Bombyx mori: one gene and its partners. The protein of the gene in region 3 interacts with the protein of the main gene of each other region in a pairwise test. Links are inferred from orthologs where the notes say so. Each region holds a gene or a part of one and is shown on either strand. Other genes may lie near its edges. The genes, in order: SH2 domain-containing protein 3C, paxillin and breast cancer anti-estrogen resistance protein 1.

Evidence for each region.
Region 1: the proteins of breast cancer anti-estrogen resistance protein 1 (region 3) and SH2 domain-containing protein 3C interact in a two-hybrid assay, tested with the Drosophila melanogaster proteins (2 studies listed by BioGRID). The link is inferred for Bombyx mori from reciprocal best matches to the Drosophila melanogaster genes p130CAS and CG9098.
Region 2: the proteins of breast cancer anti-estrogen resistance protein 1 (region 3) and paxillin interact in a two-hybrid assay, tested with the Drosophila melanogaster proteins (2 studies listed by BioGRID). The link is inferred for Bombyx mori from reciprocal best matches to the Drosophila melanogaster genes p130CAS and Pax.

The regions. Positions count from the first base shown.
Region 1 is NC_085107.1:15,460,544-15,463,707, reverse strand, and holds the end of SH2 domain-containing protein 3C, read left to right. Parts: coding exon 1-309; intron 310-1,259; coding exon 1,260-1,428; intron 1,429-1,502; coding exon 1,503-1,680; intron 1,681-1,769; coding exon 1,770-2,131; 3' UTR 2,132-2,544; downstream 2,545-3,164.
Region 2 is NC_085116.1:14,656,683-14,660,345, reverse strand, and holds part of paxillin, read right to left. Parts: intron 2,089-3,663; coding exon 1,841-2,088; intron 1-1,840.
Region 3 is NC_085117.1:10,879,622-10,883,384, forward strand, and holds the start of breast cancer anti-estrogen resistance protein 1, read right to left. Parts: upstream 2,781-3,763; 5' UTR 2,666-2,780; coding exon 2,600-2,665; intron 1-2,599.

The DNA of each region.
Region 1 (3,164 bases), on a different chromosome or scaffold from region 3:
TGAAGCAAAACTACTTCAATCGGACAACTTGGACTATGTTGTGGAATCAAGGATAAATTTGGGAAGTTTTCAATCCATGATAATACCTACGGGTCTTACGAAGCCACTAGAATCTGAAACTTTGCACGCAATCAAACTACTCTTGAGAACATCCGGACCCCGCATCCTAGCAATTCATTTGACGAAAGTCGATTTGTACTTTTTATTCGATGATGCTATTCAAATTGAGGGGTTAGATAAAACTGCGTCTGGTTTGGAACTATGTTTTTTACCGCAAGGACGACCATTGCGAATGGACGTGATTGAAAGGTAAGACGTGATAAGACTAGTCTTGCCATAAATACTGTTACAAGGAAAACATCGTTTATTTTCTATTACCTACATGAAATATTGAGTACTGAGTTATTTTATATATTAATATAACAGCATTCGCAAATAACTCTAAACTCATTCAAAATTATCTCTAGTGTCCTTAAAACAATCCTTCAAATGTCGTGGTCAATTATCAATTGGAACACACTTTTTCATAATAGAAAAATATGCAATAATCTTATGGATTTTCAAGGGCATCCAAATTATTTTGAGATTTGAAACATGATATACTATCTCAAAGAGTCCATAAAAGATGATCAAGTGGAAATAGGAACGAGTGCGCTTAATGCGAGTTTTTAAACTTCTCGATCGTGTAAAAGTTAACTCTAAAAAGAAAAGTGCGATGGAGTTGGAACGTTTGCCTACGTTTGCCGCTAGAGACGCTGTTTCAACTCCATACAAATTTGAGTTAACTTTTACGTGATAGAGAAGTTAAGAAACTCGCACTAAGCACACAGACAACGGTTAGTTTTCAATTTTCATTGAGTCAGAAATGTTCATTTCCAACCAACCACTAGTGGGTGAATCGAGTTTTATGCCCTGGTTCTAACTTTTATTAAATGGGCCATTCTAGGTTCTGAAAAATGGTGTTGTTGAGAGGTATAGCCTACTCCTCAAGAATTGTATCTTGTACCAGGTGTTTCTAACTAATTCAATAAGTTTTTCACAAAATGTTATCCATTCGTCTATAAATCCAACACTGAAGCTGGATAATGCCCACGTTGTATCTTACTGATCAATTAAGAAGCTACTCGAAATTTAGAAATATTATTTTTATTTTGTTGTAACAGAATTTATAGCCACACTGTGTATGTAACTTAAGATGTTATAATCAAAAAGTTTAATTGTTTCGGTGCTTACATTTATATTGATTGTTCTATTTTCAGAATTGAGACCTTTCGACTCCTCATTGCTGTAACTGTATTGACATGTCAAACAGATCGGCAGCGCGCAGACACACTAAATGATTGGATCGTACTGGCTATTGAAACGAAAACTGCTTTAGGCAATCTGTATGGATTTTCAGCTATAATGTTCGGACTGTGTATGCCTCAGGTAGACATTTTACGAGTACACACAAGTAGAAAGATTTAACAATAAAAAAACTGAATGTTGATTCAATGTTTTAGGTGGAATGTTTAGAGAACGCTTGGAATATTCTGAGAAGAATTTACACTGATAACGCATTTATGTTTGAAGCCAAGCTACGACCTAGTTTCAAAAGTATGAACGAGGGGACTAATCCTTTACCTCCGAATACGACTACCCCATACATACTCCCTCCAGTTCTATGCTTCCATTTGTTTGGTAAATAGATGATGTTTAATGTGATATTGAAACTTGGGGAATATATTTGAGAGTAGATATTGATGTCTGACATTAAATTACTGTTTTAGATGGCGATGGCGGTTCGTTGATTCAACAGGACGACACGTTTCCAGGAAGTTTGATGAACAGTATTGAATTCGATTTCAATGCGACTGCCGCGCATCTCGAAGCCGCCCGACAATTTCCTAGTCAAATAGATATGTTCAAACGGAACTCTAGGACTGTCGTACAAGAAATGTCTTCTTTGGGACCCACTTTAGATCCTAGATTATTGGAACTTTTCCGGACCGAGTTTCATATTAATTTTTTATGGGGTGAAAGAGGAGCTCTCACAACTCCGAATCAAAGATTCGCGAGGCTCACCGACATCCTGACTGCGATGGCCAACAAGCTGGCCAGCCAACCATCTGGAGTTGATGATATTGTGTAATTTTGGATATAACGTTTTGCAACACTACGACTTCCTCTGTAAGATTGTGACCATATCAACGATATTCATTTAAGTGCGACATTATATTTGACGAATCTTTTTTTTTTGTTTAGCTGGTGCAGCTATAGCTGTTGTGGAATTTAGCGAAGCCGAAAAAAATCTTTTTATACATGTTTAAGCTATAATACATTTTATAAAATAATGTGAAGGAATTGTAACTTTAAACAAATAACTGCCAATGTAACATTTAAAGTGCAAATTTTAGGCAAGCTAGATGTCATGTAATATTTAAAACTAGTTTATAAACTGTATGTTAAACAAGTAGCTGTAATTTTAGTTTCAACTTTAGCTAATACGTATTTATCTTTGTTATACATTTATAAAATTATCGTAATAAATGCAATATTATTGTATTCAAATTTTATTACAGAAACCTTTAAAATCCTAACGATAACTTAGGGAAAATCATATTTTGAACTATTTCTTCACAAGACGCTTACAGGACACGTTGCTGATGAATGAGTAAGTATGATCGTTATTGGAAATTGATGAAATAAAAATATATAAAATATTTATCTATGCAAAGATATTCAAGGTCAGTTGTAGTATGTAATTCGCGCGAAAGCGACTGCTAACGACGAAATACGTTTTGATCAATGAATAGTTTAATCTCTGTAAATTAAATGATCAGCTTTAATAAAAAAAATCGCGTAAAAACATACAAAATATACACGATGAATTTTTCAATTCTCCGGCTCTTAGATATGGATCTGCTGAATATTTGAGTTATTTTTTATAGTTCACAATTTTGTTTTCTTTTGCCTTTTGCTCTTACTTTACTGAATCGATATCTTCTTCACTAAGTACATATCATACTGTTAATACAAGTTGTTTTTAAACAAGCAGCATGTGCGAATACTGTTTGGCGAATTTATTTATTTATTCAAAGCTTTCTTATCCCTTTTTGCGTCATTTTCTATTGGTTTTAGTTTCACAACCACTTCAAAAAAAAAAAATTTAAAAAAAAAACATC
Region 2 (3,663 bases), on a different chromosome or scaffold from region 3:
TGCGTAATTACTGGTGGTAGGACCTCTTGTGAGTCCGCACAGGTAGGTACCACCGCCCCGCCTATTTCTGCTGTGAAGCAGTAATGCGTTTCGGTTTGAAGGGTGGGGCAGCCGTTGTGACTATACTGAGACCTTAGAACTATATCTCAAGGTGTGTGGCGCATTTACGTTGTAGATGTCTATGGGCTCCAGTAACCACTTAACACCAGGTGGGCTGTGAGCTCGTCCGCACATCTAAGCAATAAAAAAAAAAAAAAAAAAAAAAAATATACCCGGATATAATGATAATCATAGCCGGGGATAAGACACATGGCCACCTGGGCCCAAACTAGAATTCCTGTACTATGGAAACCAGAGACTGGTATGCATACTCATATACTCATAACACTTGTTTATTGCCTTTGTAGGCAGACGAGCCCAAGGTCTACCTGATGGTGAGTGGTTACCGTCGCTCATGAACGGTAGCAATGCGAGAGGTACAGCCAAGCCGTGGCCTAGCGCTAAGTACTCTCCGTAAGTTTCGTTTGAACACTGTGAAGGTGAGTTCATTCCATAGTCTGATGGTACGTGACAGAAAAGGTCTCTGGAAATGCACTATGGATAAACGCAGTGGTACTAAGTAATATGGATGTAATAATATGGAAATAATAAGTAGTATGGATGAACTCTACTCGGGAGGCGGGCAGTGCGATGGTAAAAACGAAATGATGGGACTATCTCAAAGAATTCCTTATAACACTCGCCATAGAACACCCAGAAAAAGAAAAAACAAACATGTTCATCACACAAATGTTTCTCCAAATATGGGAATCGAATCCACGACCCTCGGCTCTGAAGTCTGCAGGAACGCTAACCAACTGTTACACTAGCAAGTAAGTCGAAAAGGATAAAAATATTAATTAAACTTTCTATACTGTTGTCTGTGACACCGGTTTTTTTAAATTTTATAAAGTATGTTTATAATGGGCGTGTTCAGGTTAACAATGAACTTTCTTAATCATACAAAAAATTAACAGCATCCATTCAGGGCACGATTTCATTTGATTCTTATCTTGAGCACACAAAACATAAGCCCCGTGGACTTCTTATCAACAAAATTGTTTCATAACGAATCGATCAACAAAGCTGATAAAACTCCACGCACGGTATCTGATGAAACATGCCTATTTTATAATCAAGATAAACAAGATCTTTTGACTTGTGTCACTTTTTCTTTTCTTTTCAATTAACGTGGCAGCCAGACAATCTTGCACCCCATCTCATTTACAGGGTCAACCGTTTCTGGCGATGCCAGGAGCGCAAACAAGCTGTTGTCTACTCACTTAGGACTCTTTTCATTACTATGAAGGGGTCATATCATAGTTTTAGGAAAACGCTGGAAGTTTCCAGAAACGGCTAGTGCATGTCAACAGTTATATGTTCACGTTAGGAGAACGCTAATCGAATTACTTTTTGAGCGATTTCTAACCATTAACAATCTACTAATCATTCGTCTATCAGCAATACAATGACTAGTTCCAGAAAGGGCTGACGCATGTTAATTCTTCTTTATTAATAATTGTAGTTTAAACTCAAAAATGATTGCGACGTTGAAGTCGCAGTGGGCAGGACATATTGCTCGTAGAACGGATGGCCGTTGGGGCCAGAAAGTTCTTGATTGGCGACCGCGTACCGGAAGACGTAGCGTGGGTAGGACTCCCACAAGATGGACCGACGATCTATCGAGGTTCACGGGGATCCGCGGGATGCAGACAGCGCAGGACCCGTCTTTGTGGCGAGGCTTGGGGGAGGCCTATGTCCAGCGGTGGACGTCTGTGGGCTTATAAGAAGTTAAACTCACCGAAGCAGGTTTTGCATAATCCGAGCTAATATTCCTAGATCCATTGATGGATCCGTAGCCGGTGGAGGTGGGGGAACTCAGGCTGCCTGACGAGCTGAGACGGCCCGGTGAAGTGCCTCTGCCTAGAGGAGACCCAGTTCTGCCCGGGGAACTGGTGCGACCGCCGGGCGACGTGGTCCTGCCGCTGGGGCTGCTGACTCGGGCGCCGCCAGGGTTGATAGAGTTCTGGAGGTCGGCAAGCAAAGCATCTGGAATTGAAAAGGATTATGATTTTTATAATGTGTTTACGATATGAAATTACAAAGTGAATGTAAAACACGTTTTTGACGAAAATTTAAGCTTTGAATATAACTAGTCAGGTCATAAGTACTGTCACACAGTTAAAACTTTTCTTTTAGAATGCTGGCCACAAAAAAGTTTATTGAATTCGAATTTCGAATTGTTCATGAAAATAAAAATGTATACTTTTAGAATTTTACTCATTTTTAAATATGAAGTGTGGACGCTTAAAGAAGACCGTGTTGCAGTTATTGCGTTGCATCGTTGCGGTTACGCGCCAATTCAAATTTTTAACATACTGAAAAATTTGAATTTAACCAAAAGATTCGTTTATCGTACCCTCAATCGATACAATGAAGACTCTAGTGTAGATGACAGGTCAAGAAGTGGTCGCCCTCGGTCTGTTAGGACTCCAGCAGTGATAAAAGCTGTGAAGGCGCGAATTCAAAGACATCCCAAATGTAAGCAAAAACTGTTGGCCCTTCAGATGGGGTTAAGCAGAACCACGGTGAAAAGGCTTAGGGCTTCGGGCATATCGAAGAAAAACAGGACATCGTTTGAATGCTCGTCTAATGGACCTGAGACTGAAGAGATGCCGCGCTTTGTTGAAGCGGTACGCGGGAAAAAAATATCGGGAAATTCTTTTTTCGGATGAAAAAATTTTTACCGTAGAAGAGAGCTACGACAAACAAAATGATAAGGTGTACGCACACAGTAGTGAAGAAGCGAGCAACTGTATTCCGTGTGTCCAACGACCTCATTTTCCATCCTCGCTCATGGTATGGTTGGGAGTTTCTTATTGGGGCTTAACAGAGGTACATTTTTGTGAGAAAGGTGTAAAAACGAATGCAGTTGTGTATCAAAATACAGTCCTGACGAACCTTGTGGAACCTGTTTCTCATACCATGTTCAATAACAGGCACTGGGTATTCCAACAAGATTCGGCACCAGCTCATAGAGCGAAGAGCACACAAGACTGGCTGGCGGCGCGTGAAATCGACTTCATCCGGCACGAAGACTGGCCCTCCTCCAGTCCAGAATTGAATCCGTTAGATTACAAGATATGGCAACACTTGGAGAAAAAGGCGTGCTCAAAGCCTCATCCCAATTTGGAGTCACTCAAGACATCCTTGATTAAGGCAGCCGCCGATATTGACATGGACCTCGTTCGTGCTGCGATAGACGACTGGCCGCGCAGATTGAAGGCCTGTATTCAAAATCACGGAGGTCATTTTGAATAAACTTTAGTGTCATAAGAATCTATGTTTTGTTAAGTTCATTTTGGTATATGAATGGTTACATAATGAATAAACTTGTTTCAATTATTTTACATTAAACATGTGACAGAATTTATGACCTGACTAGGTATATTCATATGCATGTAGTAGTAAAAAGCGGTTATTTCAATATTACAAACAGACACTCCAATTTTATTTATATTTTAGGTATACTTAGTCTGGCCATAAATACTGTTACAATTAAAAATAAACATATATTACATTTGAATTTGGAATCTGTCATTTTTATATGATATTTCATTGAGT
Region 3 (3,763 bases):
GTCTTAGAGTTCCTTAATTAGATATTAATGCTATAGCTATAGCTACTTTAAACAAATTTGTGATTTGTTAATCCGCGATAAGGACTTAATAACTCAAGAAGATAATCTTCGGAAAATACCACATGCCAATATCATAATGATCAATCAAGAAACGAATCGAAAACTGATTCGGAGGCGACACTTCGAAACTTAACACTCAAGCAGAAAAGCCAATATATTTTGGATTTAAATAAAATCCTTTCGAGAGTAAAACTCTTGTCTTTTGTGTTCTACTTTAGGCTTAGGCTTTACAATATAGTCTCCTAATAATCAGTTTTGCTCACGTTCATCAAATCAATTTCGTTACAGGACAAAAGCGTGATAAACTTCAATGTGTCAGTCGTATTTCATCCCCATTAGTATTAGACAATGTCGAACGCATATGTTGCCGACATGCAGCTGCGACAAAACCGCGTCCTACGTTCCACCGGCGCATAAAATGACAGTTTCTGTATCCCGTCGTTTGACAGTCGATTCTAATCGATCAATATTATTGACAACAATGGAACAGTAGTTAAATAATTTAATTATCATCCGTATTTAGGAGCACATTTTTAAAATTTGATAAGTACTTATAACAAGTAAATTTTTGTGGTTGTCGAGTAGTTTTAGTGAAAACCGGTGTTGATAAAATCATTATTATTTATTGGCAACGCCAAAAATGGTAATCAAAGAGCTTTTTTCTAAAATACATACACACTCTGACTGTTATTTGAAAATGTAGGTAACAAAGGCGTATGAAATCATTACATATTTTAAAATAACACTATTTTCCCTTATCATAATTAATGTTGGCAGAAATTTATATCTACTTATTTATAATTCCCGAGTATTATTCGATATTGAAAATAGATATACGGTTACGCGGAGTGAGTGCAGTCTATTTGCTGAGACAGTATTGTTAAATGTACTACATTTATTTACGACTAGCGGCCCGCTCCGGCTCCGCTCGGGTCTTTAACAAAAATTTCAAGGATATTTGACGTTGTTTTATTTTAAAAAATAAAATAACACTTATTGCGGCATAACTATATTAGTTAGACATTTGCTGTCGCGGCATTTTTTGTAAATAATAATGTGTTCTACAAAGTCGTAGTACATTCTTTTATTGTATCGTGAATTGCTTATCGCAGCGCACTAAAAAATATTTTAGGTAATTTTTTTACACCTTGGGTTACATTATTGGAGTTTTAGTAAAGATCCCTCGGGAATAGTATAGCTTCCAAACAGTGAAAGAATTTTTCAAATCGGTTCAATAGTTTCGAAGCCTATTCAATACAAACAAACAAGCAAATCTTTCGTCTTTATAATATTAGTATAGATGTTTCTGACAGGCTATGTCCAAAAAAAAAAACGTAAATATAAATACATACTAGTTGCGCTCTTCTTGACGTTTTCGAAATATTAAATTTATTAGGTACATGTCGATTTTATCAATTTCCAAAAAAAAATAATTGAATATCATGTTAACACACGTAGGATCATTTTAGAATGCGTTACTCGCTCGTGAATAAAGGAATCATTATTTTTAATACCAAAACCATAATCTAGGGATACATTAATATACTTCACTTTGTATCAATTCAAGATAAATTGAGGAGTTGATAAAAAGTTGAGATAATTACGCAAAAATAAAGAGAACAGTTATGCCTAGACTGGGACAAATTTGACCAAGAATTCAGATGTCCCGAAGTCCGAATGCTATAAAAGTAACGTATTTTAAAAGTTGATTTAGATTATATATATTTATTTTTAAAAAAAATCGCAATATTACTTTCCGGTCTGAGACTGAATGAATTAAAAATCAAATCTCGGTTCTGTGCAGCGTGCCTTCAGTGAAATCTTACGAGCTTTTTTTTTCAGAAAGCTTCAAAATAAGCGAACAATTAATTTCCTATAGCACTATTGTTGGACGAATAATCTTTCTAATTTTTTATTGAATATTGGAACGATCACCTAGATGGTAGTGCGACTAGATTTTAGAGTAATTTGTGAAGTTATGATATTCCAAATTCCAACTAAAAGAGGCTCGATATCGAACAAAATGGAACAGATTTATTGCCGCCAGCATTTTTTTTTACGTACGTATTTCTATTCTTTTTTTTTTCCTACCTTTGCTGATAGCCTTGAAAGGCTATTTCAGCTTCGCCCTAACGTTTGTAGGTGAGCTCGCGGGGCTCAACCGGAGAGTTGCTAACACTGACCCTAGCAAGAGCAGTGCTTCGCAGAATCTACCACCGGATCGGAAACGCGACCCACTGAGAAGATCCGGCGAGAAACTCAGTGGGCTGTGTCTATGGGTTAGTTCGCTCGTCGAACCCTTCGTCGTAAGCGACGGGTTCGATGAGGACGGTGACCGGAACGTACGTATGTAGTACGTATTTCGTTAGCAAAATTGGTACCCGCCTGAGATTCGAGCACCGATGCATCGCTCAACACGAATGCACCGGACGTCTTATCCTTTAGGCCGCGACGACTTAAAGCACAGCATGTAACATTCCAGCAGACAAGATAAGAAAGAAAAAACGCATAAAATAATCTAATAATCAAATCAACTTACAATGTTTACCCATTTTATGGAGCATGTCTTAACGCTAATTTTTAGGTTAAATTTACAGTTACACATTGTGAACACTGGTTTTTCCAACCTTCTGTAACTATATTTGTTTTTAGAACTTATTATTGAATTTCACAAAATACTTTACAAAGTCTGTATATCAATCAAGCACTAGTAATGAGACACAAGTGATCGCCACAAAGTTACAAAGTGAACTGATTGAAACAATATTAACACTAAATATAATAAATATATTTATTTATATAAACAACGAGTGTATAACCGTTATTGGAACCAGTTGAGTCACAGTGACGTCATTAAGATCGACGCACTTATTAAATTTATGTCCGTTTCGAGATATTGAGACACTGAGACAGGAGCCTATTATTACCAGCCAGTTTGTGACCTTTGGCCAATTATTATTGTGCAAGATATATATAGATAAATAATAAGATTTACCGTCATTATTGTCATGGGCCAAAAGTTTTAGTGTACAAATTAAGTTTTCATTATGTTCAAACCTATACAGTTTATTAACGTGACCACTGATTTTATGGTAATTGTGAACCAGCACGTGTTTGTACTACCATCCGCCTATTTCTGCCCCGAAGCAATCAGTCCTGGCTTGAAATGTAAGACATTACATATGATTGAGACTTCAAGCTCCGATCCCAAGGTTAGAGGGTGATGCTTGAGGTTCAATGTTCAGGTAGCAACTTAACATCGAGGGCTAAGACCATTTTAGTTTACCTTTCTACCTAATATTCTAACCAAAACACTCACAACATTTTGTCAATGATAACAAAAAATTGCAATAAAAATAAATGCTCATACGAAAGAAGAATATCATTTTATAATATTATATGACTTGTACTTTATTTTAAATTAAAGATAATTAAAAACAATGAAAATTAATTGTACGCAGATTGGAACCGCATGAGTTGGTGTGATTCATAGATTCACCATTCACAGAAACTGACATAATATGTAGTTGTTAAATTATTATTGTATAGCACTCGATCTATCCACGTGTGAGGTCATTTTCTAAGGTTAATTCACGTCACTATATCGGGGACCATTGTATCATTTGTTTCGTTTTATTGGCGCCTTGTGGTCAGCCATTCAGACCCAGTTTTATTAAATGTGTGTGTCCGCCTAACGCTCATC